Tribolium castaneum: one gene and its partners. The protein of the gene in region 1 binds, or shares a complex with, the protein of each later gene. Links are inferred from orthologs where the notes say so. Each region holds a gene or a part of one and is shown on either strand. Other genes may lie near its edges. The genes, in order: Prp38, Mfap1 and zinc finger matrin-type protein 2.

What was found.
Region 2: the proteins of Prp38 (region 1) and Mfap1 are in contact, whole or in part, in a crystal structure (PDB 5F5S), measured with the Homo sapiens proteins. The link is inferred for Tribolium castaneum from reciprocal best matches to the Homo sapiens genes PRPF38A and MFAP1. Residues at the interface, in NP_116253.2 of Homo sapiens: Tyr124, Asn125, Tyr127, Lys129, His143, Asp145, Glu146, Asp149, His153, Tyr169, Val170, Glu172; in NP_005917.2 of Homo sapiens: Glu275, Tyr276, Trp279, Arg282, Glu283, Arg286, Arg289, Asp290, Arg294, Leu297, Glu298, Lys301.
Region 3: Prp38 (region 1) and zinc finger matrin-type protein 2 share a complex: the UniProt entries of both Homo sapiens proteins name them as parts of the spliceosome B complex. The link is inferred for Tribolium castaneum from reciprocal best matches to the Homo sapiens genes PRPF38A and ZMAT2.

What each region holds. Positions count from the first base shown.
Region 1 is NC_087396.1:19,988,068-19,991,286, reverse strand, and holds Prp38 (pre-mRNA-splicing factor 38), read left to right. Parts: upstream 1-1,451; 5' UTR 1,452-1,617; coding exon 1,618-2,085; intron 2,086-2,131; coding exon 2,132-2,527; 3' UTR 2,528-2,580; downstream 2,581-3,219. Other genes in the region: vacuolar fusion protein MON1 homolog, read right to left, coding at 2,663-3,219. UniProt on the Homo sapiens protein: Involved in pre-mRNA splicing as a component of the spliceosome.
Region 2 is NC_087397.1:4,122,251-4,126,507, forward strand, and holds Mfap1 (microfibrillar-associated protein 1), read left to right. Parts: upstream 1-1,548; 5' UTR 1,549-1,667; coding exon 1,668-1,737; intron 1,738-1,844; coding exon 1,845-3,106; 3' UTR 3,107-3,574; downstream 3,575-4,257. Other genes in the region: Dcr-2 (Dicer-2), read right to left, coding at 3,575-3,725, 3,772-4,257. UniProt on the Homo sapiens protein: Involved in pre-mRNA splicing as a component of the spliceosome.
Region 3 is NC_087395.1:20,716,808-20,719,819, reverse strand, and holds zinc finger matrin-type protein 2, read right to left. Parts: upstream 1,457-3,012; 5' UTR 1,340-1,456; coding exon 740-1,339; 3' UTR 691-739; coding exon of another isoform or gene 625-690; 3' UTR 583-624; downstream 1-582. Other genes in the region: uncharacterized protein LOC656218, read left to right, coding at 385-577, 625-690. UniProt on the Homo sapiens protein: Involved in pre-mRNA splicing as a component of the spliceosome.

The DNA of each region.
Region 1 (3,219 bases):
ATTTTGTTAATTAAATTATTTTGTACGACCTCTCATTTTGTTATTAATAAATACTCAAAAGTGAAATTCGTTTAGTTTTATTTTATCACGGGTGGAAGCGGCTTTTCTGCGAGCGAAAATATTGCAGTCATGCCATTATTCCCCCCGATTTTTCTTGTTAGGAAGTTCGGCCTAAATCTTGTTATATTTAGATAGTGCCAACTGTCTTGTACAGCATTTTGGTCATTAGGTGATTCATGTAACCACATCTAAACATCATTCTCATGTGGAACAATAACATGCGTGTGACATTTTATGTTCAGTGTATTTCTTGTGCTTCTTTTGGTTTTGTTGCTTATGTCCGACTGATTAGAAACAAAATTCTAGCATAGTTGAGTGTAAAACTTTGTGATCCAATGGACTGAAATCTTAGGATGTGTTGGATTCGTCATGTATACAAAAATTTGCAAATATTTTAACGAATTTAATATTTTTAAGGGATAAATTGTAAATAGTTAAAATTTTATTTGATAAGTATTTATTATTTTGTTATTAATATACGATATATACGAAAACTGCAATTCTGGAAACTTGTACCTAAACAAAAATGAGAAAAACGAGTGTGTTAGGAGCATTATTTTATATTGTATTACAAACGTATATTATAAATAAAAAACTTAAATCATTGGAAATAAATATTCACGCCCACTTTTTAAGTTAGTTGGAATGTTTATCGGGCTTAAACAATCTAAAAAAATATAAAAACAAAAAATTCTTCGAAAAATAACTTATGTATATAGTCCACACGTTTGCTGCCTGTGTTTCACTGTTATTGTTATTGTATTCACTCATTCTGTTATTGTCTGTTTTCCACAATACAAACATTGCAAGACTTTCTACAGCAGTTGATTTTCAATTTTACTCCACTTCGAGGTGGTGAACGTGTTAAGTAATAAGTAAATAGACACTAAATTTATAATATACTTCTCAACAAACATAAAATAGACAAATAAAGCTAATGCCTAACTGTCTCAATGTCATCAATAAAGTTTTTAAAACGATCGCAAGTGTTTGAATCACCCAATCCCCCAAAAAGCAATTTTACATCTTTAACAATACCATCGATACGCTCATTTGGATGCGTTAATAATTTTCTACTTGCATAAATACTATTTATTAAATTATGAGCGTTTGTTCATGTTTAAATTAGAATGGTGTCTGGTGGTAATAACCAAAGTTACCAAAGGTTGGCACTTTTTGTGGGATTCCCACCCGCGAGTCACGCCTGGGGACTAGACGATATTAGCAAATAAGTTTTTATGAGAAATTCGGGAAACGTGAAACTTGTTTATTATTGAAGAACTAAATTGTTTCATACGTGTACTATTGTTTAATTTTGTAATGTATAACCTTAGCCTGTATTTCCTAATTGGATTATTCACACAGTATTATTTGTCTGTAATTTTTTTCACAATGCAAAGCAAAAAGTCTGATAAGAGCGAACCATTTTTAACCTCACTTTGTGTTTACTACAAGCGTCAACAATTTCTTAGAATTTATTGATAAACTGTGCATTTCTGTCGAATTCAGTTGTGCATAAGGTGCGTTAGTGAGTTTACAAATTAAATTAGGCCAATTATGGCAAATAGGACCGTAAAAGATGCCAAATCAATCCATGGCACAAATCCCCAGTATCTGGTTGAAAAGATCATCAGATCGCGAATTTATGACTCTAAATACTGGAAGGAGGAATGTTTTGCCCTCACTGCAGAGCTTTTAGTAGACAAGGCAATGGAATTACGATTTGTGGGTGGTGTTTATGGTGGCAATATAAAGCCAACACCATTTTTATGTTTGACACTAAAAATGCTACAAATTCAACCAGAGAAAGACATTGTAGTTGAATTCATCAAAAACGAGGAGTTTAAATACGTCAGAGCCCTCGGTGCTTTCTACATGAGACTCACAGGGTCGTCCTTAGACTGTTACAAATATCTTGAGCCTTTGTACAACGACAACAGGAAGTTGCGGCGACAAAATCGCCAAGCGCAGTTTGAAATTGTACACATGGACGAGTTTATTGACGAATTGTTACGAGAGGAACGAGTACGTGTTTTTTTTGTTACGGTAGATAGTAAAATTAATTTTTAAGGTTTGTGATGTTATTTTGCCACGCATTCAAAAACGCATTGTTTTGGAAGAAAGCAACGAACTCGAAGCCAAGATCTCGGCCCTTGAAGACGACTTGGACGAAGAGATTGAACTTGAGGAAGAAAACAAGTACGAGTTGGTTGAAGAAAAGCCCAAAGAGAAGAAAGAAAGGGAGAGGAAGCGGGAACGCAGCAGATCCAGAGAAAGGCATCGCAGTCGGAGTAAGGAACGCCACAAGAAGGAGAAGGACAAGGAGAGGGACCGCGACCGGGAGAAGGAGCGCGATAGGGAGAGAAGAGACAGGGAGAAGGAGCGCAAGGACCGGGAGAAAGACCGCGAAAAAGAGCGAGATCGTAAGGATAAAGACAGGAAACGGGAGCGAGACAGACACCACTGATTTTTCAATACATCGTTTTATACAATCAATAATTAAATACATCAACAAGTTTAGGATTGTGAATATCACAGATTAAGCCTATACCTTAGATTTCCACAAAATTTACATATTTATAATATATACAAATCAAATGGCTCAAAAAGTGGGCGCATTGAGATGAAACAACTTCTCCTCCCTTTTCTTAATCCAGTTCAGCAGCCGCCCCACTGAGTTAATCGCACTGTTTGTGTCAATCAAGGGCTCGAAAACTACATAAAGCTCAAAACCTCTCGTATCCCACGCCAAAATCGCCTCGTCTGAGTTTTTCTCAAATAACAACTTTAGCGGCCTCGTCGAGCAATGCAACAAGTTATGCGCCCGTTTGTACAACTTTGTTAGTCTCTCGTTATATTTGGTGTACGGTGGGGTCAAGCTTGGTTGGTAGAACTGTGCTGTACTTTTGCATTTGTACAAATAGTGCCTAAGTTCGGGGAAACCCGCAACAATGCAAGTTTCTTCTTTCGCACTCAGCGACTCATTGATTGCTTCTAAGCAGTTGCTGCGTCGCAGTTTTTCCACTATGCGTTGTTTCGCCTCACTTAGGGCAAAAAATACGTCCCTTTCCACCGTCAGGAGGAGCAAACACGCTTGACAGTCTTCAGCCAAGTAGGACACATGTCCGTATAAAAAACCACTAGCGTCAAACCGTGGAA
Region 2 (4,257 bases), on another chromosome or scaffold:
TGGTAAAATGCGATTCAATTATTTGTGAAATGTTAGTAAAACTACTTCACCTTCGAGTTTATGGGAAATGACGTCAACTGCGTTTTCACAATTTTTGCATAGCGGTGTCAGTTAACGAGTAATAAAACCCAGTTGATTCCCTGTAGTGTCCTCCTTGTTTTGTTTTTATAAATTGGCAAATAAATACAATTAATGACCCAGATATCGCTCAGCAAACACCAGCAGAAAACCTGATTCTGAGCGATCTCCGATAATACATTTAAATGAATTCCATCCGCGTCTCTAATAACCGGTAGACCTTTGACACGTCGTCTCCGGACCCGAAAAAATCGCCGGAAAACTCCGGGAAAGAAAAGGGGGGCATTCCGGGTGTCGTTGACCCATTCCCATCACATCCATCTCGACGTCATCGTCTGCAGGCCGAAAGATAAATAACACTTTGGTAGCCCCATAGACAGTGATTCTTGGTATACTTTGCATAATAGCATCGCAGCATGCCCTGCCTAAACGTCAGACTCCACACAGACTTCTTGATCGTGCTGACATACAAGAAACAAGAATTTGCCGCGCCTATTTTGCTGTTTTTATCCGCACTTGACAATAACAATCCCGGCATTGGCTTCAATTACGCAAATTATAGCCCATTTATTCGATTTTTCAGCGGTTTTTCAAATGGACACTCGCTTCAACTCGCTGCCATCGAGGCCAGCCAAGACCAGCCAACTCGAAAATGCTTTACCAAAACGGTAAACCAGACGCTGGTTACCGGTGGATGGTTTATAACCGAAAATACGGTTTCAAAGACGGTTCTTTCCATCACACTTACCACTTGGTACAAGTTGTGTTGCCGTTTGTAATCCAATTATTGTAACTCATAAAATGCACACAACACAGAAAATACACCCGCAACCACTCTATTTGTTCATAATGTTGGAATATTTTGGCACAATCGCGTAAAAATTATAATAACACAGCTTCGCCGCGTCTTCTTCCACGCTTGCGTTTCGTAGATTTAACTTGATTCAGCATCAACAGGTGGTATTGCCAACCCAACGGCAACAGCTAATTTGCATTTCGGTTTCTTACGTTGGTGGCCCTCGACTTTTTTTACCCACAGGTTTAAACAATCCAAATAACTTTCGAATGAAACGTATAAACAAAAAAAAACGTTTACTCTTTATTACCAATTTAAACAATAAAAGTCACAATTTTTTGTAATTTGTTTGATAAAAGGAACACATTTTCTACACGTATCATTTAGAAAGAAACACGATATAGTTTTAACATATAAAAACCAATAGATAATACAATATAATAAAATTCTAAGTTGCAAAATCCATAGATTCTGTATTAATTATTGCGATTATTATAAAAAATATATTGGTTTGATTATTATACAACCAAAATTACACCTTATTTATTTATGTTTGCAATCAAGTCTCTGCGCTGAGTTTAAATCAGTTACGAACAAAATTTTTTTTTGGTTCATTTATCAAAAAAATTCTCGAACCGGTTGATTTTATTTTTATAATTCATTGATTATTTTTCAATTCTATGCTTGTCACTTGTCAACCTGTGTTGTCAACTGTCAAATGTAAAGTTGTGGCACAAAAACAATTTTCGTTTATTTTAGAATTAAAAACGACTTTCAATAGTCGATTTTCACAATGATGAACCCCCAGCCCTATTATGGCATCCAGAGTACTGCGGGTGCGGTTCCCGTTCGCAACGAAAAAGGTAAAATATCTTTCTTACCTATGACGGCTATAACCTCATTGTCAAAAATTAATAAAAAAATTGTAACAAATAAAAATGCCTTCTGAGCCGTTTCCGCCTATTTCCAGGCGAAATTTCGATGCAAAAGGTGAAGGTGCACCGCTACGTGTCTGGAAAGAAGCCCGATTATGCCCAAGACGCGCGTTCGAGCAGCGACAGCGACGACGACGATTTCCTGGAGCGTCGCAATCAGCCCCAACAGCCCCCAACGCCGGAGCCTTCACGCAGCGATGACGAACTGAATGACCCCCGTTTGCGTCGTCTGAAAATCGCAGAAGTTGAAACTGAAGTGAGGCCAGAACGCCGCCGTCACGTTGTGGAGCCAGAAGTGTTGGAATCGTCTGATGAAGAATCCGAAAAGGAACAAATTAATTTACCCGAACATAAACACACACTGGAGGCGGCTCCTGACGATGATGAGTCCGAAGTGGAGCTTAGCGATAGCGAAATCGAGAAACGCAGAGAAATGATGAAAAAACGCATGATGGAAAAGCAGGAAGAGGAGTTTATGGTGAAAGAAGAAGAAAAGTCGGAGTCGTCGGAAGAATCGTCAGAGTATGAAGAGTACACAGATTCGGAGGAGGAGACTGGCCCCAGATTAAAACCGATTTTTGTAAGAAAGAAAGACAGGATCACGATCATAGAAAAAGAAAAGGAGGTACAGAAGCAGAAGCAGCAAGAATTGGAAGCTGTGAGAAATGCGGAAGAAAGGCGGCGACAAACGCTACGTCTTGTTGAGGAAACAATCAGGAAGGAACAGCAACAGAAAGATAAAGAAAATAACGAACCCAACCTTAACGACGTTTGCACAGACGATGAAAACGACGAAATTGAATACGAAGCTTGGAAACTAAGGGAGTTGAAGCGAATCAAAAGAGATCGCGAAGAACGCGAAGCTATTGAAAAAGAGCGACTTGAAGTCGAACGATTGAGGAACATGACGGAAGAAGAGAGAAGGCTTGAGCTGAGACTAAACCCCAAACAAGTCACAAACAAAGCCATCAAGGGGAAGTACAAATTCTTGCAGAAATATTACCACCGTGGTGCGTTCTATCTTGATAAGGAGGACGAGGTTTTCAAGAGAGATTTCGCACAAGCAACTCTGGAAGATCACTTCGATAAAACTATTTTGCCGAAAGTTATGCAAGTCAAAAATTTCGGACGGTCTGGACGAACGAAGTACACACATTTGGTGGATCAAGACACAACTCATTTCGATTCACCTTGGTCAAGTGAAACCTCGCAAAATCTCAAATTTCACTCGACACAAGCAGGGGGCGTCAAGCAAGTCTTTGAAAAACCCTCGTTGAAAAAAAGGAAAACGCAGTAGTAAGGTGTAATAACCACTAGACTTAGATGCAAAAAATATATATTTTTATTCATCAATTAAAGAACAATGTAATAGGGAAATCACACTTTCATACAAGCTTCAAGCAATATACAAAGTAAATTAACATCATCATAAAGTATAGACTAAAGTTCGCAACAGTTTTTAAATTAAACAGTTTTATGTTAACCAGTCAGTTTTAAAATGCGGTTGAGTGGTTAACTTGAAACAGTTTTAATTTGAAAACGAATTATTTTTGGAACCACCTAATGACAAATTAAAGGTTGGCTGTAATTTAAAAATTCTCCTACTTAATTATCAGCGTGAGTTAAATTCACCATTTTTGTGATAGGTATCAAAGCGAATGAATTTAACTGACGGTATATAGTTGAACAATGGAAAACAGCATTTTTCAAACAATCCTAGCGAGTAACTGAATCAATATAAGCGCATTGTGACTTCGTGCGTTAATTACAACTTTAAAGCACGAAGAGCAATTTTGGCAGCGGCCCTTTTAGCCAAGATTTTGTTCGTTCCAAACCCATGAACTCGTTTCTTTCTACCTTCACACATAAAGTCTAAAGAAACCATAGTCTTTTGATTACCAACTTCCAACGCTTTACTGTGAAAGAAAAAATAAATCAAGGCTCAAACGCAACACAACTTACCTAAATTGCGGAGGGTAAACAGTATGGCACTCGTACAATCTCCTGATGACATTTTTTGGCACATTCTTGCTAAAAAGATCAATTTCGCGCCAGATAATCTTGTAAAACACCCTCCAAACAGTCTTCAAATCCTTATTGCTATCTAGATAAATTGCGCCAGCAAGGGCTTCGAAAATATCACCCAAAACTTTAGGCACATCGACGTACTCGGCGATATTCATCTCATCCTCCTCCAACAAAATCAGAACTTCATCGTCGATCACGTAATTTTTTGAAGCAAGGTAATCGGCAAACTTGTCAATATGACCTTGCAAATTCGAATTCATCATGAGCAAAAACTTGTGAAACCCGCATCGGACAACAAGGCTTGCGAACGTGTTATTGTTGACAAGGGATGACCGCAAATCGGTCACTTGACCCGGCTCCAAATGCCCACAATGTTCGAAAATATAACACGTGATGAGGAAATCAAGCACAGCATCACCA
Region 3 (3,012 bases), on another chromosome or scaffold:
TGAAAGCATGACGTCAAGTCAAAGACATTTCATTGGTTTATTTGTAAGTGGTCGATATGGAATTTAGTAAAATTCATTTTTACAAAAAATAAAGATATTTTCACACCACACGCCACTGCGTTTTAACGCGATTACATCGAAAAGTTCGTTACGAACTTTGAAAAAATCGCCAAATTAGCCAAAAATATTGTTTTTACTTTTTTCAAGCCTTCAACAAGTTTTGGAGCTAAAAAGTTGAAAATATGCAATCAAGTTTGGTGCAACGGCAACTTAATAAAATATAATTAACATTTGAATTTAATAGTACTTACATGTTACCTTTGAGTGTTACGAAACTTATTTAACATCATGGGCTTCTTTGATCAAATATTTAATTGTTTTCAGGGCTTACAAAGACATAGCTGACTGTTATTACATCAAAACTGCGAAAGTGTGTGGAAACAGCGCTGCAGCAACAACTAAAGAACTTCTACAGTCGATAATTGACAGTATTCTCACAATAAGCTGTGACAATGTGAAGGAGACGCCCAAAGTCAAGGACCCAATGCCTGAGGAATATATGAAAAAAGAAAATAAGGCAACTTGTTCCTTCACATTTATTTCATTTACAATTATTTTTTACAGGCTGACACAATGATTCTTCCAACTGTACTTCACTTACTAGTTAGCATAATATTGATTTTTATTTAAACTTCAACAAATCTAAATTATTGTAATAAAGGTATTGAAAGACATTTTGCTACTTTTTTTTAGACGATCCAAAACCTGCAAATCCCATAATGCTAGCAAGCTCACTTGCTTGTTCAGATGTTTCTTCCAACATTTCCTCAGCTTTTCGCTTCTCTTTCCTTTTCTCCCTCCTGTATTCGCGTAGCTTTTCCTCTTCTTCGGCAATTTCCTGCATGCGAGCTGCCATATCGTAATCTTTTTTCTTCTCCTCCATTTTCCGCTTGTTTTGGTCAAACCTTCGTTTAACTGCGTCCAGACTGCTGCGTTCGATCCGCATCGACATTCCCAAGTTTCGTTGATGCTTTTTGCCATTGATGTGATCCAAAAAGTTGATTGAATCTTTAACAACACAGTCGCAGACGTTGCAGTAGTAGCCCCCCGATTGTGATGTTGGTGTGTTTTTGTTTATTACAATGCTTTTGCCAAGCTTTGAATCCAGGTCTACTTTATACTCTCGGGTTTTTAGCATTTCACGTTTCACCGGGGGGCCTTTCTTTTTCTTGGTTTCTTCTTCGAGGCGCTCGATTTCTTCCCTCTTGCGCTCCTCGGCTAACCTCTCGTATTCGTCCCTGTCCCATTTTCGGCGGTGGTCGTCTGGTCGCATAGTCATTTCTGATGATTTTTCTTTAGCAGGATCACAATCAATTAATAAAAACTCAAGTACAATAACAGTGTTGACAAACTGCAGTACACATTGACAGCTGTCAAATTTTCAAGGTTAGGTTATGTTGCTAACTTCATAAGAATAAAGGTTCATTTTCTAATAAATTGCGAATTTGCGCCATTCAGGATGTTTATATATATCATTAGATTATTACAATTGAATTCATTAAACTCATAGAATACTTAATAGATTTTTTAATTTTTTGGTTATTCGACTCTGCTATTACATCTAACGAAGTTAGCTGGGTTACCTGTTTAAAAATTTAAGATGGGAAAAGATCAAAAAAATCCCGTAATCAAGACAATTAGTTATTTATTTCAATTTTTTTATTAATTTTTAAAATCTAATTCACAGAATCTTTCGTTTGCAATTTTTCAGTCTGTGGCTGTTCAAACTACCACTACGTTATGAGTTAGTTATAAGTTATAAATACCAAAGAAAAAGTGGATAACTCAAAAAATTTAAATTTTTAACAAATTATTATTTTGGGTAGGCAACACAATATTCAAATGGCAGCCTACGCAACTAATTATACAGAGTGTTCCAAGTTTTATGGTCGAAGCAAAAATTAATATTCTAGTCGAGTACAAATAAATTAAATTAATTTAAATTACAAAAAATCAAATTGAATTTAATTCAAAATTAAACTAATTCAAATTAAGTAGCATTAAATACATTGACAAATGTCGAGTTAACCGCGATTAAAATTTAATTGCAATTAAAATGTTTTGTAAACCGGCGCTCTTAGTCTAGACAATTAATTACGCTACCATTTGATATTTTGAATGTGGTCAAGTATTAATTGCTGTGAAACATTATAAACCAATTTTTTAAAATAAAGTTCAAGGTGTATTTTCTATTATATGATAAAATTCTTTCAATATTTAAAACCGTAACTGCTAACATAGAATTATACGATTGTTGCCAACTTTTGAGTAATATTATTATTATTACATTATCAGAAAATTCTGATGTGGGCTCTATTCCACAAACGACTTTTACACTTTGCGCTTGCACGTTCCCGAACACCTTTATGTTCCACCAACAACAGTATTTTGCACACTTAGCAAAAAATATACTTAGCAAAAATACTTCTTTTTACAAAAATATGCCAAAACAAATGCAAAGATTGGTGGAAGACATTAACTTTAAAATTTGCAATTTATGCAAAATGCAAAGTTGCAAAAAATTTTAGTGGAACAAGGTGATATTTAGTGATTAAGGTGATATTAAAAAAAATATCAATTTTAAAAAGCCGATTATGGCGAAACTATAAAGATTGTAATCAAAATCTATTTGATACAATATTACATGCAGCGTTGAGCAAAAGTATTAAATCAAGCGTTTTGTGCGTAAACTATGTACCTTACAAAAAATACTAATTAGTACATCATTAACTACTTTAAAAATGTAACGATTTAAAAAAAAAATTTTGTTCGAAATAATTTTTCAAAATTTCAAAAGTTAAGTAAACCTTACATTATTCAGTTAAACGAAATAAAAGGTAGGGCAAAAGTGATGTCGCATATTTGCGGTCACATATTTTATGTACTCAACGTCAGCATCAGTAGCGCGCAATAGTTAATAATTTATTTGTCCGTGTAGGTTAGAGAACATAC